Drosophila melanogaster: one gene and its partners. The protein of the gene in region 1 purifies or fractionates together with the protein of each later gene. This does not show direct contact. Each region holds a gene or a part of one and is shown in the gene's direction. Other genes may lie near its edges. The genes, in order: Cka, hpo, Strip and Fgop2.

Region 1 (7,189 bases):
ACCACGAATGCCAACTAAAATGGAGCAGAAACTTATGCTTAGAAGGATGGCTAAATCGAATTGAAAACATTTTACAAAGCAGCAGCACGGGTCGCACCACTTGGGCGAGGGCAGCGAATCCGGTGATGAGCCACTGCACCACCACAAATGTGGTGGACACCTCGTTGCGACACGGATTGATCACATTACAGATGCAGGCCAGCGCATTCGAGGACATCTTGACCAGCTAAACGTCGATCTTGAACTGATCGGACGCCGGATTCCAAAGATCGGAGCTCCCAGCTCCCAGTTTCCCAGCTTCCCAGATCCAAGCTCATTAAGGCGGCTGACGCATTAGTAATCCTCGAAACCGGTTCCAGCCCAGCAATTAATTTGTGGCCTGGAGCGTTTTAATTACTCAGCATCAGTGTGCGCGCGAATCTCGGTCAGGTGAGACAAAGCCACATATGTATATCCGTTTCCCCGTAACTCCCAACTCACCCATCCAACAACTAAGGGCCAGGCCACAAAGCCAGCAAAGCGCTAACATCTCTGTACCAAAGTCGACGTCACTGTGCCACGGGAATCGGGTGTGTGGATTTTATAGCGTACGATAAGCTAGACGAGGGCCAGGTGTCAATCAAGACTGGAGTTTTGGACGGACTGCTGGCCAGGTTGAAGCCTCGGTCGGAAGGGTCTCGGCGTTATCATTCCAACTCAGTTGGGCGTCCCAAGCGCGGCGCTGTTAAATTGGGTTAAGCCCAGTTCATCGGTGCATACTAATCTAAGGTGCGTTGCCCCGGTATTGAAAAGTGGAACAATATAAATATTTGAAAATATGTTCGGTAATTTAGTTAAATAAGTTACAATAACAATTACATTTTTATAAGTGTTTTTATGAAAAATGCTACATCTTATGTACACATAGATTAAATATTATTTAGATTTTCAGCGATGGCTATGTAAATTTTTCACAAATGCAATACTTTAATGCACTAACATTATAACAAATTTCAAATTTATAGAAAACTTTAAGTATTCAAAATCTAAAACGGTCATGTAAAATACCATACATCAAACCATGTAAGCATACATCTTACATGTAAAATATTGCTGGCATTTGACCTAAGTAGATTAAGTAGATTACAAAAATATGTAATCCGCAATTTCAAAGAAACATTTTTGAGTGCATCTTATAAAACTCTATTTTTTGCCAATGCTATGTAAAAGAATAATTAAACTTTGTTAATTGTTGGGTGCGCAAATGAGTAAAGCCAGAATTACGTGGCCTATTACATTGCCTAATTTTGTTTAGTATATCTAGATGTGTTGTTGCATTTTCGAAAATATCACTTGCTGCCACACTGGCTGTGCGTCATTTTCAGAAACGCCGCGAATATTTTGCCATTGAAATCTAGCTAAGCATTGGAATTTCGCAACGTGCAGCAGCAAAGCAAACTACAAACATGTCGGGCACATCGCAGAAACACAGGAACTTCGTTGCGGAGCCAATGGGCAACAAGTCGGTGACGGAACTGGCCGGAATTGGGGAAACCCTCGGTGGACGCTTGAAGGACGCTGGATTCGATATGGTGCGTGTGTAAATACGATGACGCCATGTGCGCAAATAAACAATGCCAGTCAAGTGCTAACGATCATTTCCATTCGTTTTAGGCCTACACCGTTTTGGGACAGTATCTGGTGCTGAAAAAGGACGAGGAGCTGTTCAAGGACTGGATGAAGGAGGTGTGCCACGCCAGCTCCAAACAGGCATCCGATTGCTACAACTGTCTCAACGATTGGTGCGAGGAGTTCTTGTAAGAGGTGGACACACAAGCCATCCGAGTAATTCGATCAAAAGGAATCTGCTAAAGGCATCGGCCAATCATTTTTATTCGCAGTCAACGAAAGTGGCCCAATGCTAGCTAAGCATTTGCCGTGTTCACTGTTAGTATGTATAGCTGTAGGGTGTAATTTAATGTCTAATCCGAATAAATGTACAGTCATGGAAACGATCCTGCATTTGGATCTCTGTTCTGCGAAAAGTACAGTAGGTGTAAAACATTTGTTGCTGGCCGGCGAAGCAGCCTAATGCAGATTTTTATTAATTTGATTAGGGGACAACAATAAGCAACACTATAGAAGGCAGATCGGTTGGCGACTATATCTTCTCTATGTTTTCGATTGTTGGCGAGTAGGAGTCTCTGACTCGCTGAAATAAGCCTCTGTCTTTTTGATGTTTCTTTATCAGCGGGCTGATGTCGCCTAATTTTGAAATCTATTTCTTTTTGTTTTTCGGAAATGATCTTTTATAATGATGGACTTAGAACCTTTTAAATCCCAATCGCTGTTTTGTTTGGGGATTATGTGTAAGCGGTTAATATATATTTTATAATGAAACCCCTTTTGTCAAAATTAATTGTCCTCGAGTAATTAATTAGTACCGAGTATTTGATTATAAATACAACTTTTTTTAAATAAAAATATATATTTTTAAAAACTTATTTTTAAAGTGAGTGGTATTAAATAGGATTTCTTTTCCCTGAAGTGGTATCATATGGTATTTATTTTTGGTCCCGTGGTATTTTTTATCGTTATCGGCGCGGTCACGCTGCTAAGAATTACATTACGCGTGAATACCAATGAAAATTAAGAGAGAAATTGCAAAACACAGCCAAGCGGTGCAATAAATCGCAAAGTAAGAGGCGCAAAACGCGCAAATACCGTTTGCGCGGTTAAAAAATGCAAAAACACCAAACGATAGATTAAACAAAGTGAAATTAACTCGGCTTTGGCATATGCGAACACCAGTGTGCCAGTGTGTGTGTGTTTTTCTTTGTATATAGACTCGCAGAGCGAGACGGCCATACACGACGGCAGACGGGACGGTGCAGGTGCGCGAGTGCGAGCGGGAAAAAGGCTGTGCGGTCACTGCTACTCTGTGTGTTATTTCAGAGTTACAGGCCAAACATTCTGATGTGCGGCCGAATCAAATCGACTTTTTGTGTGCATCGCCCCAGCGTTCGTCTTAATTAATTAGTGATTGCAAGCGGGTGCAATTATGCACAAAATTACGGACTAATACAACTGCCCGCTTCGCGCTCTCTCCATCTCCCTTCCAAATAGTCGTTTGCTCTTCGCACACAAAAGTGTAAACCCTGTGAAAGGTAGCAACAACGTTTCCTTGGAAAAAGCTGTAAATAGTAAACAAAATTGTCAAGTTAACGAGCCAAAGTTATTAAATAAGGTTCGAGTACGTTGGCATCGGCTGCCCAGGCAGCAAAGAAAAACAAAGACGCAGTTCAAGATTCAGCTGGACACTTAGAAGAGTTTAAGAATTGAAGCACAAAAAAACGAAGAGAAACAAGAACCCCACCAAAAACCCCGCCGTGCGTTTGTATGTGTGTGTGCCATTCAAATTTCCCTGCAGCTGGGTGAGTGTGCGTGTGTGTGTGTGTGTCAGTTTAATTTTCCTACCAATAATCGCCTTTCCAAGACGTGATTACCAGCCGATCCACCGCTTAAATTGATAAACGTTTTAACTCTTGCGTTACATCAGCTGTTTTACGGCTTTTTGTGCTATAAGTTACGCTTTTCCCGTAAGCCGTTGGCAACACTAGAACGCAAAAGAGAGAATCGCGAGTACCGTAAAGAGGAAGAGAGAGAGATAGAGAGTGTGAGCGTGTGAGAGAGCGGGGAATGTGGGGGCGGTTCCGGTGCGAGAAAACGTAGTGTAGTACATAAAGAGAGTGCGAACGAGAGGGAGGCAGCCAGCGAGTGTCCTGCGACTGCTCCCCCCTTTACCCTCGTCGCCCTTCTATTCGGAAAATTCAATGACCTCATTTGTTTCATGTGCCGAACTTTGCTTTTCTTTCCCAACCTAAAAACGCAAAAAAAAAAAAACGTAACACCAAACAGGATATAGCGTAGGACCAGTGAACAAACAAGTCCGAGAGAGCGACAAACAAAGGACCGTGCACTGGGCACCTGAAGGCAGACAGCTGGCAACGAATCAGGAGAGGATCAGGAGAGCAGGATCAGCGGGCACAAGGATCACCGGAGCAGGCAAAGGAAACACCTGGCACACAGCACAGCCACTGAGAGCGACGTGAACCAATGGGCACCAATTCGGGAGCCACCGCTGGCATAAACAACAAGCCGGTTGGCGGTGCAACAGGAGCCGGCGTCCTTGTAGGCGGCGGTGTGGGCGGTGCCAATTCCTCGATCGGCGGTGTCCTGTCGAACAGCCTGGGCGGTGGCGGCAGCGGCGGTCTGAGCATCAGCGGCCTCAACGCTGGTGGACAGAACGCCAATGTGGGCGGAATGGGCAACGTTGGCGGCGACGACGGCGGAAACGGGATGGTGGGCGGCGGTGTAAATAACCAGCAGGCCACAACGCCCCAATACACAATACCGGGCATCTTGCACTTCATCCAGCACGAGTGGTCGCGCTTCGAGCTGGAGCGATCACAGTGGGACGTGGACAGGGCCGAATTGCAGGTGAGTGATCCTTAAATACTGAATTGCTAATAGCTCCTCTTTAATATTCGATTAATCTCGTACTTTGAGATAGGTGAATCAGAAAATCAGCTTAAGATCTTAACAATGTCCTTATTATTAGTTTGAACATTGATTTAGTTCTCATCCTCCACTATTTTATTCACTATTGATTAAGTAGGTACTGGACTCACGGACTACAGTAAACTTTATAGCGTGAACTTTGTGCAGATAGTGACAGTATAGTGCTTAGTATAAAAGAACCAATGAAACTGCAAATTGTTTGTCCTAGAAAGAATACTATGCAACCAAAAGCAAGGCAATTTGGCAAGGCCCAGGGAGTGCTTAAAAGGTCCTTGCTTATCGACAGCGGTGGCTCACTTTCCATTTCAATGATTTTCCGAGGCGCTAATGCATGAACATGCAAGGAAAACGGCCAGGAGGAGCCACCACACCGCCTTGCCTCCGCCATGTCCGCATGCAAGCGAATCGAGTTGAGCAATTGCCGTCATCGAGTGTTTATGCTCTGTTTGTCGCAGACGAATGGCCAAAAAGCCTGAAAGCCCCCAAAAAATGTAAAATGAGTGTAACCGCGGGTTGGATAACATTATCGTAATTTCGAAGGAGATTACTCCACCTCCAACCTGCGCCACCCTGCGCCTCCATGGCCATCGTCAATGTCAATGTCGACCCACGCTCTATCGCTTTCACCTGCCAAGTGGCCAGATAACGAGCGGTATCGATAACGAGGCACAGTCCGTTACGCTCTGAATGCAACGTGACATTCAAATCCGTCTCTTCCCCTGCTTTGCATCATCATAATGTGGAAAAGTGGCCACAAAAAAAAAGGAACCAAGTTGACAACGCAAATTTGTCGCCGCGATTTATGAACCTGTTCGCCTTGTTTGGCGTTTTTGGCCAAAATAAATCTGGTTCGGGTGGGCAGCAGAGGCAGAGGCGACGCCATCCGAGATGGCTCTGTTTCAGCAGTCGTAGCATCCGTTCCCTGCCCGGCCGCCTGGATCTATTTATATACTTCCATATGCACATCGCAAATCTCTTTGTGTGTCAGTGCCGACTGCTGTGAATGCAGCAACGTCCTTGTCGCAACGAATCTCAGTTTTGCCGGTCTTCCCATGAATGCATCCACTTCCACTTCCTACTCGGTCGGCTTTTCCTACTGTCGCGTTTGTCAGGCAATTAACTTGCACTGTGGTCGGAAACTCTTTATTTAAAGAACATTTACGTTTCTATGTTGAATTTCAATCAGATATGAGGTAACAAAAACAAAAAAGCGAACATTTAGGTTCATCTTATACTATCATTTATAACTCTTTAATGTTTAATGGCATATTTACCTTTAAATTATTATCAAATTCTTGAGAAATGATTATTTGTGCTTCGAAAGCACTGTAAGCAAGAATGACGCGGCAAATGCTAATATATTTTCAATCATTTCGCCATTGCAAAAGCATTTGTTTGCAAATGCATTTACAGATTAGAGAAACCAAACGCCGCTGGCGCTCTTGTCATATTAATAATTCTATTTATATGTCCTTGTGTACAATATGGTCACTTCCCCAACAGCATTATGCAATGGACAATTCCAAGAGCAGCCACGTAACCCCTTTGGTTAGCCAGCATTTTTCAAAAATTGTAAAGCGAAAAATCTTGGAGCTTCTCCGCTCGGGCTCATTAAGTTACAAATGCGCATTTGTCATGGAATTCGTAATTTCTAATTGCGAATGAAAATAAAAAGTAGTTGCATGTCGCGGAGCGATTTGTGTAGCAGCTCCATAAGGCGTTGGCGTGTGTGTTTTGTTACCTTTCTGGCCCTTTTGCCTTCGAATATCCGGAATATTAGCGCGCTGCTTTTAATTAGCCAGCTTAAGGAGCCAAATGAAATGCCATTGGGCGATAATTTAAATGCACAACATGTTTCCATTAACAGCAACAGCACAAAGAGTACCCCACTCACTCCTCCTCCTCCTCCTCCTCCTCCTCCTCCTCCTCCTCCTCCTCCTCCTCCTCCTCCTCCTCCTCCTCCTCCTCCTCCTCCTCCTCCTCCTACCGCCCTTTTCGTTACTATTAGCATGGGCAAATTGTTATTGTTGCTGGTTCTGGTTCTGCGCTTGCCTCATTCCATACAAACATGCGTTCGCTTGCCACAGTCGCGGCCACAACTATAGGGACTGTTATACGTAAATGATACATTTAGGAAGTAACATAGTTTAATATACGGATAGTTGTTTGATAAGCTAATGTTAGTTAAATAACGCAGACTTCTTTCCAAATGAAAGAAATTCTGCTGTAATAGAATTAAATAATATGTATATCAATAGCTAAGCACACAGCTATTCAGCTGACCTGCAACGTTGGAGCGTGGGTGCTGACCACTTCCCCTCCATTGTTGGTTTTATGTTTTTTATTTTTTATTTTTTGCAGGGGCGTCATAGTTATACTTCTGGCACAAAGTTAGCCAGTTAGAGTATAGAGTTGTGAAAAATAGGTAAAAGCAAAAGTTTCCTTCTCTTGCACACCGCATCTGCTTCGATGTCAGGTGCAGTGTTTGCCTGAGATTTTCCCTCCTGAATTTTCATTCTCTCCCCTCCTCAAAATGCTCGGGGAAATGCGCAGTCATAACTGCACGCTGTTGCTACGCTTGCTGAATGAACACGAAATGGGTAGGAACGAAGGGGCGGAACGGAAAAGT
Region 2 (7,416 bases), on another chromosome or scaffold:
CGGGCATAGGTCTTGTAGGGATGTTTCGTCTCCGCCAGTCCGTCGAAGAAGAGCGGCAGATAGAGGCTGTAGTCCAGCTTTTCAATGTCCACCTAGGCGAGATACGGGAAGAGGTGACACCGTTGGCGGGTCAAAGGTGAATAGAGCCGCTCCAAGTTCGAAATTGGTTCGTGTACCGGCGGTGGCGCAAGTCTTGCAAGTGTACATTTGCACGCCATGCCGGTTAGGCGCCCTAGCTGATTTCCATTAAGATGCTCTTTGTTTGCTTACGTTGTCAGTGGAAAATTTTTAGAACACATCGAGAAATGGGCCTGTACCTGCCTATAGACTTTGCAGTGCTAAGTCTAGACTAATCTTTGTTCGAGAGTCTGCTTTGAGTATAGTTACCAGCTTAGCTTAGTTGATTTGAGCTAACAAAGGGTTATAATATAACCCACTATCTTAACCAGATTGTATTGCATATATGACTGAATGACTCAGAATAGGAATTTTACTTTGATTTTAAGAAGACAGCAACTTTATATTTAAGTCAAAGGCGACATCGCTGGCATCGCAGCTGCGTGAGCCTCACATATGGGTTTCCCCAACATCGACCTTCGACCCCGTGACGTAAATCAGGCAGTGTCACTCACATATCACTCTCCTGTCACGACGGCATTTCGGCCTAGATAAACAAACGCACCACCCAAATGACATACGCCGCATATGTGGACTCCACATCGAATATGGAGTGCCATCCAAGGTCTGTGACATTGAACCAGCCAAAGGGGTCACACACACACTCATGCGAGGTGGGTGGGAATTGGTTACACATAACTTTCCGATTGCAGCGGAGTTCCATGGGAAATTGACTGACAGTTGGACGGTGCGACGTTTTGAATGTCAGTAGTCGCATTCCGGACGGAATCGCTTGCCCGTCAGCCGTGGAGCTCTACTAACTCCGGAAATAGACAATGGCATATTATTTACTCGGTTTTTGCTTTCACCTGCAACACTTGAAATAATTGGACACGCAGGTGTACGAAACTCGAGCTAAATTCAAATATGGGCTTTGTCTATGGGTCACCGAGTGGTAAGGTTACCCCTTTCTAGTGACAGTCGTGCAATTTCATTTGATTTTTATTTGCATTGACTCACATTTGTATAGTTGAAGTTTAAGTTTGCCAACAGACATATGGAAAATTCTAGCTATGGTTACAAAAATAAATCATTACCCGAATGTAAGGGCTTAAAAAGAATTAAGTTTAAATGTATGACCTATCCAAATTTCGAACAATATAACTTAATACCATATATATAGTATAATTAATAAGTCAACTAACAACGAACCTAATGGAATTTAGCGCCCTACCAAATAATTCCCACCACTCACCGTCCATCCGATTTTGTCGCCCCCGCAGAGGTACTCCATCTTTATGGGCAGGTCGCCGCGGTCAAAGTACATTCGGAAGAGGGTTCCTCGTCCCGGATCATTAGCCCCACCGGTGGAGCAGCCATTAAGACCCATGCCCAAGTTGAAGGTGGACATGGACTTTTGTTGGCGCCTCAGAACTGAAAATCAGTACAAATGCAAATGTGGGCAGGGATGTCATTAGGGAAACAAATACCGATGGGCGAAACACCCAAATAAACAAACTAACGCACTTTTCGGATTGGGCACCCGACTCCTGGCACTGGCTGTCTTGGGGGCGGTTTCGTGGATGGGTCCGTCGATGACGACCGTGTTCTTTTGCTGCGACTGAATGGAGAAGGGTGGAACGTAGCGCGGACGCGACGAGACCGCCGCTCCATGGATGCCGCTAAGTGGACGCAGTTGCGCCGGATTGGCGGACTTGGAGCGCGTCGGCCTGTGGTAGTCGTGCGTGGGACGCCTTGCCGTCGCGGTGCGTGCCGTTTGGGCCATGGCCATTTCCGGTTGATGCGACGATGTGCAGCCACGTAGTGTAAACAGCGAACTGCCGAGCGAAGGAATTTCTGTAGCCAGGCTGGCACTCCTGGTGTTGGCGTTGCTTTTGCTGTTGCTGTTGGGTGTCGTGTCGTTTCTATGGAGCACGTTGCTAAGGCCTGGGGCGGCTTAGTGACCGATAAGCCAGCAGTTGGAGCTAAAGCCGCTTGCTCGCATTCGCTGCGGTGCTCTCTTCCAGTCGCATTTGTTACAATAACAAGCCGGTTAGCCTTATAGGCGCCAGTTATGTTGTTATTATCATTCGACTATGCACTAACCAAAGTCCCCGGACTGCATGTAGATTTCCCAAGCACTTTTATTGGGCATTTCAGGTCAGCGAACTCATCGGAATGAAGGGGATCTGGGTTTTCTGGGGGCGCAACCGCAGATTAACAACGACAAATTGGCACAGCTCATGTCAATCATGCCAACATTTTATTCTATTTGATGAACAACAACAATCGATCCATAAAAGCAATTTAATTTTATATACAGAAGTAATAAATATTAAAACGTATTCAAAGTGAAACAAATTACCTAAACAACTTAATATTATAAATATTATATGTTAATCAGAATTTACTAAATCTTTTTAATCAAAGTACAAAGTAAATCGTCATAAATCTAATCAATAGCCATGAGAAAAACATAGAAATGCCATCATCAAGCAAAGATTTCAAAAAAGAGGTAAGCATGCGTGAGTTGTAAATTTAATTTTAACCTTATAATTCTGAGCCAATAAATTAAGTTTTAAAAAGCGCGCCAAGAGAACTTATCGATAAATGGCTAATTCTGCTATGCAGCACTGGTGCTTTGTTTACATTCTGCGGTGTTCGGCGTTTGTCTGGCAACGCCGCACCTGTTCTGTGCGGGTGGCGTGTTGCAAAGTGCCGAGGGCACTGAGAACTACTAGTGTTGGCTAGCGATCGAGTGCGAATAAAGAACAAAAGTGTGATATGTCGCTGTGAATAGCCAATTATCTGTGTTTTCTCGTGCTAAATCAGAAAATTTTTCGCAATGTCTGAGCCAGAGGTGACCAGCGTTGTAGATATGAAATCGCCCAACATATCCTCCTCCTGCTCCTTCTTCAAGCTGAAGAAGCTGTCGGAGGAGTCGCTTCTGCAGCCGCCGGAAAAGGTCTTCGACATTATGTACAAGCTGGGCGAGGGCAGCTATGGATCAGTCTACAAGGCAGTGCACAAGGAAAGCAGCTCCATTGTGGCCATCAAGCTGGTGCCGGTGGAGTCCGACCTGCACGAGATTATTAAGGAGATATCCATTATGCAACAATGCGACTCGCCGTATGTGGTGCGCTATTACGGCTCCTACTTCAAGCAGTATGACCTGTGGATCTGCATGGAGTACTGTGGCGCCGGCAGCGTCTCCGACATTATGCGTCTGCGCAAAAAGACGCTGACGGAGGACGAGATAGCCACTATTCTGTCGGACACTCTGCAGGGCTTGGTCTATCTGCATCTGCGTCGCAAGATCCATCGCGACATCAAGGCGGCCAACATCCTGCTCAATACCGAAGGCTATGCTAAGTTGGCCGATTTCGGAGTCGCTGGTCAGCTCACGGACACAATGGCCAAGAGAAACACTGTGATCGGAACGCCCTTCTGGATGGCCCCCGAGGTGATTGAGGAGATTGGCTACGACTGTGTGGCAGACATATGGTCATTGGGCATCACCGCCTTGGAAATGGCCGAGGGAAAGCCCCCATACGGTGAGATCCATCCCATGCGAGCCATCTTTATGATTCCGCAGAAGCCACCACCATCGTTCCGGGAACCGGATCGCTGGAGCACAGAGTTCATTGACTTCGTGAGCAAGTGCCTGGTAAAGGAGCCAGACGACCGGGCAACGGCCACTGAACTGCTGGAGCACGAGTTCATACGCAACGCCAAGCACCGATCGATCCTAAAGCCTATGCTTGAGGAGACCTGTGCCATTCGCGAGCAGCAACGCGCCAATCGCAGTTTTGGGGGCGTGTTGGCTGCTAGTCAGGCGAAGAGCTTGGCAACCCAGGAAAACGGAATGCAACAACACATCACGGACAACGCGTTTATGGAGGATCCAGGTACTCTGGTGCCGGAGAAGTTCGGTGAATACCAACAGAGCTCAGCCTCAGATGCCACCATGATAGCGCATGCAGAGCAAGGTGTGGATGAGGGCACTTTGGGGCCGGGTGGACTAAGGAACCTGTCCAAGGCAGCTGCTCCTGCAGCGGCCTCTTCGGCAGCATCTCCTCTGGACATGCCGGCAGTTGACAGCGGCACAATGGTGGAGCTGGAGTCGAACTTGGGTATGTAAATGATTTTGAAAGGGCTGGCCATTTGTTATTGTATTGTCTGTTATTCAGGCACTATGGTAATCAACTCCGATTCGGACGACTCCACAACGGCCAAAAACAACGACGACCAGAAGCCGCGAAACCGCTACAGGCCGCAGTTCCTGGAGCACTTCGATCGCAAAAATGCGGGAGATGGCCGTGGCGATGAAAAACCCATAGCCACAGAGTATTCTCCGGCAGCAGCGGAGCAGCAACAACAACAACAACAGCAGCAGCAACAACAACAGCAGGATGAACAGCATCTGGCAAGCGGGGCCAACGATTTGAACAACTGGGAGCACAACATGGAAATGCAGTTCCAGCAGATCTCCGCCATTAATCAGTATGGTCTGCAGCAGCACCAGCAGCAGCAGCAAGTTCTGATGGCTTATCCCCTGATGAACGAACAACTCATCGCGCTCAACAATCAACCGAATCTGCTGCTCAGCAACGCTGCGCCAATGGGACAGCAGGGAATACCGGCAGCGGCTCCAGCTCAACCGCCGCCCGCATATCAGAATCAGCATATGCATACGCAATCGCACGCCTATGTTGAGGGTGAGTTTGAGTTCCTCAAGTTCCTTACCTTCGACGATCTGAACCAGCGGCTGTGCAACATCGATCACGAAATGGAGCTGGAGATCGAACAGCTAAACAAGAAATACAATGCCAAGCGGCAGCCAATTGTTGACGCCATGAATGCAAAGCGCAAACGCCAGCAGAACATCAATAATAATCTGATTAAGATATAGGTAAAGCAACTCACAATTTCGCAAGACAACTGATTATGAAATCTCAACTCACTCAATTGCCTCTACATTGGGTTAAGTTTGCAGATGAATACTGAATCTTACAGACCCATCATCTGTATCCTCTAGAAATTATTCGTGCATTGTGCAAATTTAACCTGGTGGAAGGGTCTAAAATCAATCACAAGAAATGAAAACACAAAAGCTTTATTGTAAAATGCAGTGAAAACAGAAAAGAGGAGTCATCGGCAGTATCTTCCAGCACGAAAGCATATTTTCTGTTAGATTTCATCAAATTTATGCTTGGTTTCTTATATCCTAGCTTTCATTGATCTGTCTTTTAATATAAATAGGTATGCTCGAATAAAATTTATCTTGCGTTTATTGTAGCTGCCCGTATTGTGAACTGCCCAGGCCTTATCATAATTTAATAAGACTTATAATATTCGTTCTTCCTTGGTAACTATTAACCTTTATCTCTAAAACACTTATTTTCTGTCTTCGTGCGATAAAAACAGTAACCCGTCAAGCAATACTTATAAAGGAGAAACATTTTTATACGCATTGGAATGCATATTTTTCGAACATATATTTATCAAAGCAAAATGCACAGAAACACTCACATTTAAACATTTATATATACCTAGTACTTTTAGCAATTATAAATAATTTACATAATAAATATATAGGAATATATGAATCAAAAAATTGCATACAATATATAACTTATTCGAAAGATACTTAAGAAAATTTTGTAATAAGTAATGATATATGTAGACCAAGGAAACCTCCTTTTTATTTTAGTATGACTACTCTTGTATATCCATTTCCTGAGTTGCCTGCTGCATGTCGTGCAATTGTGCCCGCAAATCTTCGGGCAAAGTGTGCTCGTTCAAGGCACTAGGGTCTTCACCATCCACGACAATCTCCTCTGGATCTGGGGCTCGTGGCAAAAAGTCGGCATCTGGGAACATTTTGCCAAATATGTCGCGAGCATTGGCAATGGCCGCGTCATAATCCAGCTCGTAGGTAGGTGGATCGGTGTAGTAAATATGCTCGGCAGCGGGACTTTTACTAGACTGGGCAGCAATTGTGAAGTATGAGCTAAATATTATTTGTGCGTCTGATTGATCGAAGAGTTGGCTAGTGAAAATGGCTAGATCAGACGCTGGATCCTCGCTCAACGCTGGCGTGGTCAGATGGAAGATATCTGTAAAAATTAATTCATTAAAAAGGAATAATTCACATATTTTCTTAAGTTTCTTACATAAACCCTCGGGACAGGCTCCCGTGTAGTGCGACAGTTGTATTAGGAAGGCTTCCCGTCCACCTTCATTGTCAAGTAGTCGAAGAAGATTTACACCACCACCTCCCTTGTTCAGCTCCTCATTGCCCAGGGGACTGGACGATATGAACAAGCCACGTGAGATGTGCGGCTTCAACTCGATGCCCTTTGAAACTGGTGTATAGCCAGGGGCAGAGACCACATTCTTGGCACGCAAAGTTTTCCCTGCGCTGCTCAGCAGGAACTCATTCGAATTGGAATCTAAGGCAATGTCGTCAACGGCTCGCTTTAGGCAGTAAATGCCACCATAAACAGCGCACAAACGGCAGAAGCACTGCGGCAATTCCCCGCAGCCATACATGGGAAAGAGAAAGGGTGTGTTGCCATAGCGGCCCAGACTGCCCAGAAATCGTTGTGTGCGCTGCATACCCTCCTCGAAGCTGGTGCTGGGGCCGCACATGGCAATGGCCTGCATCACGCACGACGATATCTTTTCGGTCACCCGCTGCGCCTGCAAATATTCCAGAAACGTTCGTCCCCGGAATTCCAACGAGTCCTCGTTGCACTTGTCCTCGCCGTAATCGTTGCAGGCGGTGAGAAATTTCATCAGCAAGCGCTTTTCCACGATGGTCAGTGTTTTGGTGTTGAAGACATCGCTACGGGAGCAGGGCACGGACACAATTTCACCATTGTGGCGCATGCACACATGGTCCACGGCTCGGAATTCAGCATAGCGGCAGATGTTCGACTTGATGAGCAACTGCACCAGCTCCCCGGCTGCGTATAAAATGCGCGGGCATAGATCCAAGCTGAAGCGTCGCGACTTGGCCAGCACTGAGTCCCTATTCCAGGATTGTGCATCTGTTTCTGATTCTTTTTCCATGGAATGCCAGGTGTACCTTGCGTTTCGCAATGCAGAATGAGGCTCGACTTCCTGGTCCAAGCGGGCACATAGAGCATCCATAGAGAAGGAGCTCCAAACATCCCCGTAGTACTCATTACTATCCAGGTGGAGCACCGATTTGCCTATCCTGCTGCCCGCAGCGGCGATGCAGGACTCGGTGAAGCCTGAAAAGGGCGTCCCTCGAATGACTCATCTGTGGTT
Region 3 (10,016 bases), on another chromosome or scaffold:
ATGAGGACTCGGCGGCTGCTGGTGGATGGAGGGGCGTCGGCTGTGATTCCGGCGACGGGGCAGTCGTCCGTTCTTGGACATAGGTGACTGACCCTGAGCTGGCGGCTGCAATCCCAATCCCTGGCGAGGAGACAGCTGCTGGGGCTGCTGTTGCTGCTGGGTTTGAGACACCTGTTGCTGCTGTTGTTGCTGGGACTGGGATAGCACCTGCTGCTGTCGCTCCTGGATGCGTTGAAACTGCTGATCCTCATCCCTCTGAGGACCCGCCCTCAGCTCGGCCGGAGCCATACCATCGACGTACTTCACATCCGCCGGATTTGTGGCCGGTTGCTGTGCAATCGAGATGTTGACATGGGTGGCCGCATCCACCTGGCTGCAGGCCACCAGCAGGAGCACCAGCACTCCTCGGAACATCCTGTTCTAATCCTGTTACCAATCCGAAGTCAAAAATCCTAGCTGTGTGTCCAATCACTGCTGACCACCACCAAAGCTGACCGCTGTCTGATCGATAGTGGAGTGTGCTCCGCATATTTATACGGATTTTGGGTGGATTCGGAATCAAAATTGGGGGAGCGATCGCATTCGCAATCGCGATCGCGATCAGTGTCAAAGTCAACTGCAGCACTGGGAATAGCAATGCATACACACTATGGCGACAATAGCTTCGATAGCTTCGCTACTGACCTGGGCCAAACTGTTTAGGGATGAGTCTCAGATGCTTAACCTAGTTCTACAATTAAAGGCATTCGAGCGATCGCATTTGAGCGATGATGCATTCAACAAATTGCTGTCATCGCTTCACACTTGTGTGGCACGCACCAGCACTGAGAGAAAAGGGGCCTAAGTTCGTTCATATATCACAGATATATCATTTAATATGCGATTTTATTAAAATAATTTCTTGGGAAAATTTGGGAAAAGTTCTTTCGGGTAAAAGAAGCTAATCCAATAGAGATCTTTAATTTCGCTCCAGCTCATCAGTTTGGTTTTTCTCCGCCTGATCTCCACTGCGAATTTCGATGGCATCCGTAAATGGTGAGTGCAGCATTTTCATGTAATTGTCGGAAGGTCGGAGTCGCCGCTCCATTGGCAGCTGGTTTGAACTTGAAATCCGGCCGAGACGTTGAACTGCTCCACTGGAGGAGGAGCAGCTCGAGATCGGCGCCCCAATGGGCTGACGGATTCGCATTTGTTGGTTTTGGGGGTGCTGGTCAGGCAAACTTGCGCAATCGAAGTTTGGCGAGCATTTGGCGAACACTCGGAGCACTCGAATTCGGAAAGAAGGTAAAGGTTAATGTGAAGTACTTTTGCTTCTTTCTGCACTTAAAGTAACCACCAATAAGGTCAAATTGGTAAGGGGGAATATTTTAAAACAGATATTGCCTACTCACAGAAAAAGTAACTTTTCTTTCAAAAATATCTAAAGGATATTAAAGCAAACTTGTTTTGAATATCATTATAGAGAAAGGCAAATATGGGTTTTAAAATCTAAAACTCAGACTAATTGATCAAGGTCCTTTCAAAGATTAATTAGTTTTAAAACAATGCGAGCTTTCGTGGTCATTAAGTTGAACAAGTTTTCAAAAATTGTGCTCTACCGTTGAAAACATCATACCTTTCTTTTGTGAATTTCGTTTTTCCCTTAATATGACATCTCCAAATTTCACAGTCACCTAACAAATATATATGGCTTGGAAACAGAAAAATAAACTCCTTTTTGACACTTGTAAAAACCAGTTAAGCTGTGGCGCCGTAAACGCCAGATCCTCGATGATGCAGTCCATCCAGTCTAGGATCAACGTGCTTAACACCATTGCTGCTTCCAGCAAGCGGATTGAACGCGCCAGCGTTGACACGGTAAGTCCGAATTGATACAGTTCCAACTACCGATCAAAGTACGTGCCCGGCGTCGCCAAACACCCAGGTGATAGTGTGGTAACCACGAATGGCGTTTATTATGTTTGCGGGTGGGAATCAAAACCAGTAAGGAGTAGACAATATATATACCATGCGGTGCATGTGGCCGGCCACAAGACTATCTGTGGCCAGACGGTTACAAGCTAAAGCTACGCGAAAACACAGTCCAAAAGAGCAGCTAACGTCTAGGGCACATCTACAGCAGCTTTTCAATGTCCTTGGCGATGTCCATGGGATCGGTGGTCGGGGCATATCGGTTGATGGGCACGCCCTCCTTGTTCACCAGAAACTTGGTGAAGTTCCACTTGATTCCGCTGCCCAGGGTGCCGGTCTGCTTGGCCTTTAGGTATTTGTACAGCGGCGCCGCATTGTCTCCATTCACATCGACCTGCGGGGGTGGGGCAAGTTTAGTGACTCGGTCTACAGCAATCGGCTAGCAGCTTTAATAGTCTTACCTTGGCGAACACCTCGCCGATGTCAGCCTTGGAGTCGCGCAGGTGGCACACCATGGCCTCTCCATCGGCCTCCGGCATCTGGGACCCAAACTGATTGCACGGGAAGTTGAGGATCACCAGGCCGCGCTCGCCGTACTTCTCCTTTAGATCCGTCAGCTTCTCGTAGTTGTTCTTGGTCAGGCCGCACTTGGAGGCGATGTTCACCACCAGGACCACCTTGCCCTTGTACTTTTCCAGGGAAACATCGTTGCCATGGGTATCCTTCACGGTGAACTCGTAGATCGAGGCGGCGTTCTTGTAATCTCCGTTAGCAGACATGTCGATCTGGAAGCAATAGAAAGTGGGAGTTAGAATTGGGTAATTACTAGTGGCTGTGAAGGCTTGGGTCGATGTTTTGATCAAGAGATATAGATATTTATAGCCTTATCTTCAATCGGGGTATGAAACACTATATTCTGTATCAAAATCGACCCAGGCTACGCGGTTCATTGCAGTGAACAGGCAACAGAGAACAGAGAACAGAGAACACAGGCAGTGGCAAAGGCTACAACGTTTAGTTAGGCGCAGAATCAAGCAACTGAGTTAGTCAACGGGTTAGGATCTAGTCAACTAGCAATCAGCACTACTCACGGCAGCTGCTGTGGAGTGCTGGGCGGCTGAGGAGATGGCGTTCATGGGCGTGGCCGCACAGCTCACGGGAAGCATGATGGTGCAGAGGCGAAGGCACTGCCTCTGACCGCGACTCAGCTCGAGGACGGGGCCAGGGGTCCGCCTCATCGAGTAGCACCTGAGGGCCTGGCGGGAAATGTTCTGAAACTGCCTGAGACTCATTCTTTAAATGCTGCAAATAATAACCGGGCAGAATGTTCAAATTTAGTGAAAGCTTAGGCAAGTGAAGGAATTACTGGTGTGGATGTGTACGTTGTGTATCAGATCGAACAACAATCGTTTCAAAACAATTCAAATGGGAAAATATAAAAATCAAGTCCACATTTCTACTGATTAACGAAATAGTTAAGTAGATAAGAGCAAGTAGTAAGTAAAGTAGTAAGATAGCTCAAAGCTATCTTATTTCCGAATAAGAAAGTGTGGAAATGTATGTGGTGTATAGATTGTATTCGACAACCCGACGACAAACATCCAAGATTATTTCACGTTTTGATAATGGGTTTCCTAATAGTTGTATGTTGTTTCATAGACATTTACGAGGGTGCTATCAGGCTTCTGGTTACAGTGACGCTGCATAATTCATCGGGGTCAAAGTCAAGAGCTATATGTACATATATGTATATCCCAGCACCCTGTGAGTCACGCAACCTAGTGGCTACGCACAGTGACCTTTAAGCTGGCCAGGATTGGCCCACGTAACCCACGACGCTGCCTCGTTACCGTCGCTGATTGCACATGCATGCCATTGTTCGAGTTGATTGGACAGCAATTTGAAGGGATAGTTAGTGTTGTGGGTAATTACTTGCATGGTGAAGTAGATGTACGATCCCAGGGCGATTGCCACGGACCCCAGAAAAAAGTGGACGATGGAGCGGCCAGCCATTACTGAGCTATATATCGACTATGTGTACGATTTCACAACGATCTGCTGCGAGTTTCGGATGCAGGGATACAAATATAGAATGCGAATGCCGAGATTCTGCAAGCTCACGCTGATATGGGCGAAAATCGGGAGCAAAGTTCAGATTCGATTCGACTGTTTTCCCTGCTCTATATACATATATTCTTGTCACCTCGACCAGCTGTGTTTTTGGGCTGATTATGCTGTGCTTAATCTCGACAGCTGGGTATTATTGTTTGGGCTTACTTATGGCGTAATAGCAATGACTAATGGAACTGGGCACTTTCTCACTTTCGAAGCGTAAATAAAACTGAAACCGGCGACTTGCAAAAACCCTTATTTATATGTGTAGGTGAAAGCACTTGTAATGTTCTGGTCTGGTCACACTAGGAGCACAACTTTTCCAGAGTTGCCAAGTGTGGTGGTTAAGCCCTACTTTCTAAATTTAAGCATGAAAGTAAAAGCCTTTAATTAGAGCTTCAAATTGTATATATCATTACTATTGATTATCATTTTGTAAACACAAAATATCAAAATGAAACAATCCCTATTCCTAATATTAGTACAAATCAAACAGAACCCTTATTTCAAATTTAAAGCAGCGGCAATTGCATCAGTCGCTGCCACATCCGATCGAACGGCCTTGCCAGACGGCCAACACCATTTGCTGTTTGGTATTTTCCGACCACACAGCAAACGGTCGTACGAATTTTCTTCTTTTTCCATTGTGCGTTTTTGTTTTTGGCGAGAAACAAATTGCAGTCGAAATTACCCAGTGAAATGCAGTGCGAATTGCTTAGTACGTCCATGTGCTACTAAGACCAAGTGGGAGAGAAAACCAGCGAGCAGGAGCAACCACGCCCACGCCAGGCGCACCGCCCACCGCCGCAGGATACACATACACGAGTAGCCCACACTCACGCACATACACTTCCACACAAAAGAGATCCCTGTGTGGCGAAAAAGGATTGGCGGAATGATGCTCACATCCATAAACAACTCCTTTGAGCAGGACACCCACGATGCGGACGCCAACTGCGACGGGCCCGACCTGGACTTCGTGTACGCGGACGTGGATGGCTATCAGAACGAGATCGCTGAACTGTATAGCTACACGGAGTTCAGCGAGTTTCAGATGAACGTGAAGGCCTTCGAGGACCAGATGGAGCTGTACGACCTGCCGCCCAACTGGCAGAAGCAGGACTCCGCCTCCCAGCGCGGCATCGTGATGAAGCTGGTGGACCAGCTGGAGGTCTCCGATCGATCCTTTCGCATGCAGGCCGCCCGGTGCATCCTTTACCTGGCCCAAGGCTGCTGGGCGGAGGTTCAGTCGGACGAGGAGCAGCACCAGATCACCAGGGACAATGTGCTGGTGCTCTACCAACTCGGCGTCTTCGCCTCCTTCATCGACCTGCTCAACATGGAGATCGAAAGCGCCTGCTCTCCGGACATTGTGGCCGTCAAGATCACTAACGTCACGCTTGTGGACTCCACGGACATTCGGGTGATCCTATCTGTGCTCTACATCATCACAGAAACGATTCGCGATGAAAAGGAAAAGGGCAGCGAAGACTACAGAGAGCTGGCCGACTCCTTTGTGCAAGAAATCAACTCACCACTACCAGATGGCGAACTTCTGGCCGTCAAGCTGTTGGGCATGATCACACGGTTTTGCAGTGGCGCAGCACCGCAGTTCCCCATGAAGAAGGTTGTCCTCCTGCTGTGGAAAGTTTCGCTGCTGGGACTGGGAGGCATGGATGTGCTCAAGAATCTCAAGAACGAGTATCGATTGAAGGTGGGTTTGGAACCCATCACCGAGGACACGCTGGAGGTTACCAAGTGCATGCGAGCCAGCTCACCGCCGGCCACAGCTACTGATATACTGGAGAACCAGTATCCCAAGCGGAACTTCAAGTAAGCGGAGTCTTAGATCACTTATGTACACTTTTCAATACATTCATTTTCCTTGCCGCACAGACGCTCCCTGATGAAGCAGCGTTTTTTGGACGAGCCCGAGCAGATAGACATGGAGATGGGCGGCAACGAGGGTCAAAATAATGCCAACAATGGCAGCGGCAATGGCGGAAACGGGGAGGAAGAACTCTCTCAGTACTACCGACCCTACGATGACCCCTCTTCGTCGGCATCCACCACCTCGACGGCAAATCCAAACAACCAGCCTAGCCTAACACAGCCACCCGCTGCTGTGCCTCCGGTACAGATCACGGCTCGCCTGCCCTGGACGCCTAAGGTGCGACAAAAGGACATTGACCAGTTTCTGGACATTTCGCGGAATAAGTTCATCGGGTATTCACTGATTGGTGACCACGAGAGTCTGGCTGGACTGCCGCAACCCATTCACGAGGGCTTTAAGACGCTGCAGCGGCACATGTATATGAGCCTGGCCGATGTGCAAATTAAGAAGGAGGAGGACATAGCTAGGAACCCCATTTCCACGCACGAGGACGAAATCAAACTGACCCCGGCTGAGGTGTTGTACCAAGCCATCCTGCCAAACCTGCCGCAGTATATGATCGCCCTTCTCAAGGTCCTGCTGGCAGCTTCGCCAACGTCCAAGTCCAAGACGGAGAGCATCAACATAATGGCCGATGTGCTGCCTAGGAAGATGCCGCTGACGGCCACCCAATCAACAAAGCTAACCGTCGACATTGGTCGGCACAAGGAGATCATTGTGAAGGCTGTCTCGGCCATCATCCTGCTATATTTAAAGCATTTCAAGATAAACCATGTTTACCAGTTTGAGTTCATGTCGCAGCATCTCGTGTTCGCCAACTGCATCCCGCTGGTTTTGAAGTTCTTCAATCAGACAATCACGGAGTACGTGAACACCAAGAACTCCATTCCTCTGCTCGATTTCCCGTCGTGTGTGATTGGTGAGCAACCGGATTTGAGTGGCGATAGCTTTGTGTATGGCGGAGAGATGTCCGATAAGTCCTACTCTTGGCGGAACGTGTTCTCCTGCATAAACCTGCTGCGCATCCTCAACAAGCTGATCAAGTGGAAGCACTCGCGAGTGATGATGCTGGTGGTATTCAAGTCGGCACCAATCCTGAAGAAGACGCTTAAGGTGCGCCACGCCATGATGCAGCTGTACGTGCTGAAGCTGCTCAAGATGCAGACCAAGTACTTGGGCCGCCAGTGGCGGAAGTCCAATATGAAGACCATGAGTGCAATTTACGCCAAGGTGCGGCATCGTCTAAACGACGATTGGGCCTTTGGCAACGACTTGGAGTCGCGTCCCTGGGACTTCCAGGCGGAGGAGTGTACGCTGCGGGCCTGCGTGGATCGATTCAACCTGCGACGCTATCCGGAAGCCACCCAGAAGTGTGGAAACAACGGCACGGCAGCTCAGAATGCGGAGAACGCCCAGCAATCCAACATGATGGCGGGCAACAATGGATGTGGCAATAATGGCGACGCAAATGGCTATGGAAACAACGGTGGCGGTGGCAATGGCGGCCACAACCAGCAGCAGCAGCTCAACGACTATGGTGTGGAGGGTGGCTTTCCCAGCGACGAGATCCTTACCCACTCGGACTTTGCCTTCTTCGGTCACTCGGGTTGGTGGGATCGCAAGGTCGAGCTGACGGATTACTTCAAGGCCAATTACGCGGTCTGGCTGGAGGAGGAGGTCTACAACAGTCAGACCGACTGGGACGCCCTCTAGGGCAGGGCTGCCATCGGTGAGCAACTGCATACCGCATGTGCCCCGTCACACTTTTATTTACGTGATTCCTTTTTGAATTACAGCTGCTCTAATATCCACATGCGCGTCATAAAAGCAAGAAGTTATTAACGTAATTGTAAGCATTAAGAAGTACATTGATATAATCCATGTAGCCCGACCACGATTGAAACACCAACTACTCACTGAATTGGCAATAATTTGGCAAGCCACGGGCCTCCGCTGCGCTCCTCTTCACTAACTAGCATACGCGAATACCATACCCATAGCGATGACAAGCCTGTATATGTAATGATTGTATTTTTTAATTTATATATTTATTATTTTACCTGTTCTGCGAGCCCTTGAAACGGATCGCGGCAATCGGCTTCTGTAGCGGAATAAACAAATTTGCTAGTTCGAAAACGACACTTGGCTTGAGGTTAAATGTCTGTTTATTCGTATGTGTGTTTTGTTTCGCACAAGAAAAAAATATATAATTCTTTTAGGTCATAGTCTTAAAGCTAGGTTTAATTTGGTAAATATACACTACGGTATTTACAAGGTGCATATATAAATATCCATTATATAGTACAATAACTTTTCGACTCCATAAAAACGCCCCACACCAAATGCCTCGTTGGGGTTTTTCTAAATTCCATGACGTAATAGTAAACAATACAATATAATAGTTAGCACAGCTAAATATGAATTCCTGAACCGAGTTTCTTCATTTCACAATCTGGTTACAAGAGCATTCTCCACAAGAGAGACCATGTCACCCATAATAACTATCTTAATACGAAATAAAGACTAACTAATAATAGTTGTATTCTAGGGCGGGTCGATTTGTTTCGATTGTTCCGTAAAAAGAAGCTAGAAACTGTAAGCAAATTGGTCGTGGAAGTTGTAGGTTGGGCAATCAAACAATCAAAATATTCTCTAAACAATACTGCACTTTTCTTTGGACTTTGCGGTGCTTAACATTTGCTCAAGTTCCAAAAACTCACATTTTTAATTTGAATTAAATAATTGATTTTAGATCATACTTTTAACAATTTAAAATCGAACCACCCTTAGAGTAGCTTACAACTATAACGTAATATGGGAATTTTAGCCACGATTCGGAGAAGTAATCCAAACAATTTTGAACCGTTTAACATCCTACTACTATACAATATTCAATTATTGTACTCTGAATCCAAGGACAAACTATTGCTCCATGGGACACGCCGACGGCATGACGTTGTTATTGCTCGGACCCATGTAGAGCATACCGAACCGTTTCTGCTGCGGCGGGCAGACGACGGGAGCAGGAGCTGGAACCTCGCAGCGCTCCTTGAAGTAGTGGACGATGCGATGAAGGACGAACGCGAGGATCTTCTCTTTGGCGATCTCGCCATTGAGGAATGTAATGTCCTTGCAGTCGCGGTACTCGCTGAAGTTCTTTTCGTAGTGCGGCCACACACAGAGCTCGAAGTAGCCCGTGACATCGGGTGGATCGTATGTGCGCTTACTGCGCCGTTCGAAGCACTTCTCATATGGCAGATGGAAGTGGTACTTAATGTTGCACAGGGCCAGCAGCTCCGGCTGGTTGAAGATCATGAATCCCTCGACCAGGAGGAAATTGACCTTCTTGTCCCTCAGCTGGGCGGCAATCTGCGCATTGATGCTCATAATGTGCTGCTGCTGCTGCTGGATTTGATGGTGCTGGTGGTGGTGCTGCTGGTGATGGGGGTGATGTCTCGGGTGCTGCTGTGGCGGATATTGATAGACCCCGCCATTGGCCTGTTTGTAGTAGTTCGCATTGTACTGGTACTGCTGCTGGAACTGCTGGGCGTAGTGCTCGAAGTTGGCATACGTCACAAGGTGCTCCTGTGGCTCGGGAGCCACATGGCGCCCCTTGATTATGTGCGCTATGTCGTTCAGCATCTTGGCCATGTCCAGCGAGGTGATGAGCTCGAAGTTGATGGCGTTGAGCGCCTCATTTCGCTGATGTCGCTTGTCCTCCACGGGCAGAAAGTAGTCATCCTGCGAGATCAGACGCACCTCGCCAATGGTGTACGGCGAGTTCCACAGCGGCGCTCCTCTCAGACCCTTGAAGTAGTCGTGCAGGCTGTGGGCTAGCGTAGTTTTGCCACCACAGGTGACTCCCGAGATACCAATGACCAGCCACTGCGGCATCTTGTCCACGACTGACTATCGCTCTTCCTTGTTTTTCAGTGGAATCGTACGTTCGCGTTCGCACCGAGCAAGATAACCCCCCGGATAACCCCCTTAATCACGTTTCACTCTCAGGCTCCAGATGTGGTAAAAGGAGAACGCGGCGATGCCGCCGAGGAAGATCACCCCGAACACGGTGGGCACAATGAAAGCGTACTTCAGCGGT
Region 4 (6,717 bases), 1.1 Mb from region 1:
CGCAAACGCGTTTCCCCACCTAGAATCAGTCTAAAATCCCATAATAAGGTGAGTAATGCCATTAACTCTTAATCCTTTGAGTTCAAATATTCAATGATATTTTCGTGAAATTTTCAGTGCCCCCTCCAATGACGCTGCTCACATCCTCGCTGCTGCTCTTTTCGCTGCTGACGTCGCGGCTCGAAGCAATTCCGGTTTTGGAGAAGTCCCCCGCCCATCCTGCCCACTCTGCACATCCCGCACATCCCGCACATCCCGCACATCCCGCGCATCCATCGCCTGGCGTGCGAATTCTTCGCGCACCCGAATCTTTGGTGGCGCCCCTGGGAGACGAGGTGGTGCTGGAGTGCGAGACCAGTTTGCAGCCAGAGCGCTTCGAATGGAGCCACCGGTCCAGCAGATCTCCGGGAGCGGGGTTCAAGTACCTTAAGACAGGCACGGCCAAAGCGAATGTCTCCCAGGAGGCGGCCATCTCGCGACTGAGGGTGCTCGTCCGACCAGACACTCTAGGCGAGTACCGATGCGTTGGCTGGTTCGGTCCGCTGGTGGTCACGTCTACCATTGCTCGATTGGAGCTGGCCAGCACTAGCCTGGTGGACGCTCAGGAATCGGAATCACCCCTCCAATGGCGGGTGTCTGCTGGAAACTCTGTGCTCTGGTCCTGCGGACAACAGGTGCAATCGAATCCATCTGCCAGTTGGTCCTACTATCGAAACGGAGTGGAAATCAAACCGGAGTTCATCGGAACCAATGGAAATCTTTTTCTAAGCAATGTATCCTCCGAGTCGTCAGGCAGCTATTCCTGCCAGGCAACCAATCCTGCCTCTGGCGAGAGAATTCAGCTGCCCGGCTCGCTGCAACTACAGGTTACACCAGAGCAGAGGTCGGAGAGTAAATCTCCACACTTGCTCAGGGGACAGCCGAGCTCCCAAGAAATTACCATACGCGAAGGGAGTTCGCTGTTGCTGCTGTGTCCTGGAGTTGGCTCACCGCCACCGACGGTTGTCTGGAGCAGTCCCGATGTCGTGGGAGCTGTTAAGAACAAGCGTTCGAAAGTATTTGGACACGCTTTGGAGATATCCAACACCCGAGTTAATGATGCTGGCACCTATATTTGCTTTCAAGATAATGGAGTGCGGCCTGCGTTAGAACACTACATAAAAGTGCATGTCGAGCAGCCGCCTCAGATTGTGCGACCACCCTGGGCCGATCTTACCAACGAGGGCGATCGTTTGAAGTTGGAGTGTAAGGCCACAGGAGTGCCAACGCCAGAGATCTACTGGCTGCTGAACGGTCACAGCAGCATCGATGATTCTGAGGCTGAGCTCTCCAATAATTTCCTGATATTGCACAGCGTCTTGAAGCGTCATGCGGGCTATGTCCAATGCTTTGCACGAAACAGACTTGGTGAGCACAGTGCGGGTACACTGCTGCAGGTGAATCCCAAGCAGATTCAGGAACCCCGGGAATCGGGGGGTACACACAGGCCCAAGCCCAATCAGGGTTCCAGGCAGAAGCAGATGTATCCACCGACTCCTCCAAATGTAACCCGACTTAGCGATGAATCCGTAATGTTGCGCTGGATGGTGCCCCGAAACGATGGGTTACCAATTGTCATTTTTAAGGTTCAGTACCGCATGGTTGGCAAGCGCAAGAACTGGCAGACAACCAACGATAATATACCGTATGGAAAACCGAAGTGGAACTCCGAGCTGGGCAAGAGCTTCACGGCTTCGGTGACGGACCTGAAGCCTCAGCACACCTATCGTTTCCGCATCCTAGCCGTTTACTCCAACAATGACAATAAGGAAAGTAATACCTCGGCGAAATTTTACCTGCAGCCAGGTGCAGCACTTGATCCGATGCCGGTGCCAGAGCTTCTGGAGATCGAGGAATACTCTGAAACCGCTGTGGTGCTGCACTGGAGTCTAGCCAGCGATGCGGATGAACACCTGATCACTGGCTACTACGCCTACTATCGACCCTCGTCCTCGGCAGGGGAATATTTCAAGGCAACCATTGAAGGAGCCCATGCTAGAAGCTTTAAAATAGCACCCCTCGAGACGGCCACCATGTACGAGTTCAAGTTGCAGTCCTTCAGTGCCGCCTCTGCATCCGAATTTAGTGCCCTTAAGCAGGGGCGCACCCAACGTCCCAAAACCAGCACCACAGAGGAGCCAACACTGCAAATGGGCGACCGCGATACAACAACTCCCAGTCATAACGAGACATTCAATATGAGTCCCATGCTGACGGGAACAATCGGCGGCGGGGCAGTGCTCATTCTGCTTCTGATTAGCACCTGTTTCTGTGTTTGCCGGCGTAGGAATTCCAGAAGCCGGGGAAACAATCCAAACAAGCCACGGATGGCGGAGCTGAGAGATGACTTTGTGCCGCTGGGCAACTGCTCGCCCACCAAGCAGCGCCAGCGAACACGACACATCCACATAACCTTGAATCCACTCGCCCAGCAGCAGCAGCAGGCGCTGGAGGAGAAGAATGACACAGACCAGGATGCGCCCTATTATCAGCGGCCGTCGAGCTATGACTACGATCCCACGCTGCGCAGGATGTCCTCCTCCTCGCTGCGTCGCTCACAACGCACGCTGGAACGTGCTGGCGGCAGCAATGGCTCCAACAACGGCAACAACAACAATCTAAATCAATCCGCAGAGGCGGGTTCCATCGAAAATCCCGGCAAGCCGGGTCGTGTACTCATGAAACGCCCCCGTCTGTCCAGTCGCTCCGAGAACCTCTCCTCCGGCAGCCTCAACAGCGTTGGCGTGTAATCGCAATCTCGTGATCTTTAGTCTGTGCATCCCTACGCCCGATGTACCATGCTATTCCTCTACCTCTGTTTTATCTACCACTTTGAATGACAAAACCTTTGCTGTTTGTACTTAAATAGGTACTTAAATAGACATAACTAGATTTATGTATGCATGATCGTTTAAGAACATAGCATTATGTCCATTCTACGCTAAGTCTTCCATTTTTCGCGATAAGATCAAAATCTGTACTGATAGCTTCTTAATGACCTATACAAAAATGACAATAAAGCTTGTAGCTTCACCTTTTAACCTTAAAAGAGTTTTTTAACATAAACATAAAGGATTTAGCCAAAAAAATGACATCTCAAGCTAAAAGTTAAAAAACAAAATTATAATTTAAATCTTTGGTATATTTGCGGTATATCAAGTGTTGAAACAGTATTTTTTCGCATTCAATGAGTGGCGTTAGGGATTTGTGCAACATCCGATGGCGTTTGGGATTTAATAAGCTGTCAGCCAATAATTGGGTCGTCGTCAAAATTTCTATTAAAATCGTTTCTATTCCTACATATTTTGGCCGGAAAATCAAATGAAGCTGTTACGCTAGGGACGAAGCTGCACCTTACCCGCACCGAACGTAAGACACTGCTCGTAGGCCCCAGAAAGTGCACAAATTTAAGCGGTTCCCTTTGTTTTCGCAGTGCCAGCAGCAGAGGGCCTGGCCCCCGAAAACAATACAAATCCAAAAATCGCAACTGGACTGAATTGGGCAGGATGTCGAACCTATCCGTGGGCCAGATTATAATGGATGCGCAGCGCATGGCCAGTCGGGTGAAGGACCTGGACGCCCTGGGCACGGCGCTGCTCGAGGAGGCGGAGAACAACAATCGGCTGGTGGAGAGCCTTCGCCAGTATCAGGACGACATTGAATCACTCAACCGCATTTCGAACAACAAGACCAACGCGGACATGGTGAATCGCATTCAGCAGCAAAACATCAACAGCTCGGAGATACTCAAAGAGAATCGCGAGCTAAAGATCTTCATTGAGGACTACGAGCGTGCCATGGAGCTGATGATGCAAAAGTATCGCGAGCACACCGTCTCCAAGGTCCTGGATAGCAAGTTTAGCTTTAAGGAGCTGTACAACGAACGCATGTGGCAGGTGATCCGGGAGCAGCGCGAGAAGATCAACGAAATGGCAGCAGTGATGCAGCTAGCTGCAAGTGTAGATGACGGTGTCGTGCAGCGAGAGCTGCAGACCATATCCCAGCTGCGTCTGGAGAACGAAACGCTGCGCGAGCTGCTGCAAATCTCCAAGCAGTACGGCTCCTCGCAGCGACCGATTCGTGAGAGCGACCACCTGCTGGAGGAGAAGGCTGTGCAAACGGACAGTACGGCGGACGACTCCGCCGACGATCTGTCCATATCGGGCGCCTCGGTGGAAAACATGAACAACAACTCGGTTATCCAGATGTACAGCAGTCCGGAGCAACCGGCTAAAGTCGCCGGCACCACGAACTCATTTAACACTGCACCAGTGCATAGTCAAAGTGAAACACAAGCACCAAGTGTGACATTGGAGACGGCGCCGCCGGGGGAAGAGCCGCTGGCGAATGATAACAATAACGGACCTGCAGTCAACACAACCAGTGCACCGCCGCCAGCGACGACGTCTAACGAATCTGTCGAGGATCAGGCGACAGTAGCGCCCGCAACATGATAGGTGCTGCTGTGCAACGTTGTTGATTCGTTTGGTCTTCATTTGAATCGTATTTACTCACCCACTCACAAAACAGGCCGCGCACGAAGAGGGCCCACATAACCTGCATTAGCTCTTAGCGATTGATAATCTCTAAGTAATTTATACATAATACGAATTTCAACATATTGTCCATACGCATTGAGAACAATGAAGTTTATTATTTAAAACGAGGTAAACACACTCACACCCACACAAATGTAATGTACAATGTACCCTGTCGATTTTATGGTTTGCTAAATAAATTCCAATACAAATCGGGGAATAACCAAAGGAATGAGCATATTTAATTTAACATACAAATGTATTTCAGTAGTGTATTTAAATAAGATGTAACTTTGCTTTAGATTGCTACTCCGTAAGCTAACTAATTCTTAAGTTATTTCCCAAAAGATGTTACGAGTAGAATCCCATCTATTATGCGCCCCTCCCATGAATTTGAATATTTTTGTTAGAAGGCTTTTTAAATTTGGCCATTCTAAATCCCAGCCAAACAGAGAAGCGGTTAAATAATTCATTGGATATGACTCATTGCTTATCGAGTAAGGCTGATCAGAACTTGATATACACACATACTTGTGTGGAGTTTAAATATGAATAAAGTATAGCCACTAAAATTAACATTTGCCACAATGGTTATCAATGGTTATCGAGCAGAAGATTTATGATATAGTCATGTTAATTTTCAAAAAGTCAACTTATTACACAATGAACCAAGTTGAACAGAATCTGCCATGAGAAAAAAAAACAGCAGTAATAACTATAATTTTAGAAGCTTAAGATTCCAAAGGCAAAATATTGGGGTTTAAAAAATTTTAAATAATTTCATTATTGTATTGTTTAAGTTTAATTTGGTTATTAATCAATATGGAAAATTAGGAAAACCAATTTTTTGAATAGATATTATTGAAGTAATTATTATTATTATTAGTTACAGTGTTTTTTTTCTTTAATTCTATCAAATACATTTTTGTAATTTTGATAAATATGGAACCTGAAGTGTAAAAGTAATATTATATGGATACCCGTAAAGATTTATGGCTGAAACTTTCAATTGGCTTGGACTTGAATATTTTTGAATAATTTTCGAATCGCTCTCATCGATTCTCTGCGCCAAAATATCGGTTCTCTTGAGGAAAACACTTTTCTCGCACGACTGGTAGGTAGTTGAAGCTTTCAGAAATAATTTAAATTTAGTTTCTCGTCGATTTTCAACGCGTTCGCAGCCGAAAAAAAAGTGCCAAGGAACTGCGCCCGGTTCGCATGGCAGCCATCTATATAAGTATTTCGAGTGCTCGGGCAATCGACGGTTATATTAAAGCTATATAAATATATAGGCACATACGTGCTTGGCCTTTGTACATGAATGTGAATCGGGTGAAAAATTGAAAACTGCCTGGATCGCATGGTTGATATAAAGATATATCCCTCTAATAATAAGCTATTGATCCAAATCTAACGATATTTCCGGAGAGTCTTGCATTTGAAAATCGTCTGGGTAGATTTATGGGAAGTGCGCTGCCATTTAGCAAGAAGAAAACTATGCTATTTATAAAACACAGCCAATTTCTGTGGCCGTAAATGTTTTGTATAAAGTGAATATTCCAAAATTAAATCAACCAAGCAGCAACCGAGTGTTTGTGTGTGTGTGATCGAAAGTGAACGAAAGGCTTTGGGGATTCCAATCCCTGTAAGAATCTACATATGTACACCAATGCTCCAAACTGCTGTATAATCCGTGTCGAAACGCACTGAATCCCGACGGTTACGCAACCATCAACATCCACATCCACTTCCACATCCAAGAGGCTGGCCCCATTCCCCGTCGTCCAGCCGCAAATTATTCTAAATGCGGAAGTATTTCGTGTAAGTCCACTGCGTTCTAAATTAAGTCACACATTTTGCAAGTGCCAGCGCCGACGAAAAACAGAGCGCCTTAGATGAAAATAGGTTAAAACGCTGGTAATTATTTATAAACGCACTAGGGATTTGCAATCATCGCAGCAGCAGAGCGCACAGAGAAAGGAGTGGTGAAAGCTCCGCGCTTTCTCTTCGCCTTTCTCTTCGCATCGCGCTCTTTCGTTTGAGTTTCGCCATTTTCGCCAAAAGAACAAAAAACATGCGCAAGCGGCGGAAAATCGCCTGCGCAACTAGCTTCCACCTGTGCCAGCTTATCTCGCTCTCT

Evidence for each region.
Region 2: the proteins of Cka (region 1) and hpo purify together in Drosophila melanogaster (affinity purification with western blotting; 2 studies listed by BioGRID, with this or other methods). This does not show direct contact.
Region 3: the proteins of Cka (region 1) and Strip purify together in Drosophila melanogaster (affinity purification with western blotting; 4 studies listed by BioGRID, with this or other methods). This does not show direct contact.
Region 4: the proteins of Cka (region 1) and Fgop2 purify together in Drosophila melanogaster (affinity purification with western blotting; 2 studies listed by BioGRID, with this or other methods). This does not show direct contact.

The regions. Positions count from the first base shown.
Region 1 is NT_033779.5:8,028,163-8,035,351, forward strand, and holds the start of Cka (connector of kinase to AP-1), read left to right. Parts: upstream 1-2,558; 5' UTR 2,559-2,677; exon of another isoform or gene 2,678-3,413; intron 3,414-3,897; 5' UTR 3,898-4,095; coding exon 4,096-4,479; intron 4,480-7,189. Other genes in the region: CG7367 (uncharacterized protein), read right to left, coding at 1-14, 76-217; baf (barrier to autointegration factor), read left to right, coding at 1,446-1,571, 1,654-1,800.
Region 2 is NT_033778.4:19,492,295-19,499,710, reverse strand, and holds hpo (hippo), read left to right. Parts: upstream 1-2,854; 5' UTR 2,855-2,962; coding exon 2,963-4,250; intron 4,251-4,307; coding exon 4,308-5,029; 3' UTR 5,030-5,715; downstream 5,716-7,416. Other genes in the region: CG15120 (uncharacterized protein), read right to left, coding at 1-92, 1,373-1,551, 1,645-1,909; Rep (Rab escort protein), read right to left, coding at 5,836-6,236, 6,294-7,379. UniProt on the Drosophila melanogaster protein: Plays a key role in the Hippo/SWH (Sav/Wts/Hpo) signaling pathway, a signaling pathway that plays a pivotal role in organ size control and tumor suppression by restricting proliferation and promoting apoptosis.
Region 3 is NT_037436.4:3,320,540-3,330,555, reverse strand, and holds Strip (striatin interacting protein), read left to right. Parts: upstream 1-1,684; 5' UTR 1,685-1,686; coding exon 1,687-1,857; intron 1,858-1,929; exon of another isoform or gene 1,930-2,113; coding exon of another isoform or gene 2,114-2,305; intron 2,306-2,372; coding exon of another isoform or gene 2,373-2,696; intron 2,697-3,002; coding exon of another isoform or gene 3,003-3,203; exon of another isoform or gene 3,204-3,213; intron 3,214-3,843; coding exon of another isoform or gene 3,844-3,924; exon of another isoform or gene 3,925-4,291; intron 4,292-4,519; exon of another isoform or gene 4,520-4,918; coding exon of another isoform or gene 4,919-4,954; coding exon 4,955-5,856; intron 5,857-5,919; coding exon 5,920-7,630; 3' UTR 7,631-7,646; intron 7,647-7,713; 3' UTR 7,714-8,072; downstream 8,073-10,016. Other genes in the region: CG14961 (uncharacterized protein), read right to left, coding at 1-414; Gtpx (glutathione peroxidase homolog with thioredoxin peroxidase activity), read right to left, coding at 2,114-2,305, 2,373-2,696, 3,003-3,203; CG12016 (uncharacterized protein), read right to left, coding at 8,840-9,811; Dpm2 (Dolichyl-phosphate mannosyltransferase subunit 2), read right to left, coding at 9,905-10,016.
Region 4 is NT_033779.5:6,941,825-6,948,541, reverse strand, and holds Fgop2 (fibroblast growth factor receptor 1 oncogene partner 2), read left to right. Parts: upstream 1-3,252; 5' UTR 3,253-3,408; intron 3,409-3,472; 5' UTR 3,473-3,545; coding exon 3,546-4,493; 3' UTR 4,494-5,364; downstream 5,365-6,717. Other genes in the region: ihog (interference hedgehog), read left to right, coding at 129-2,789.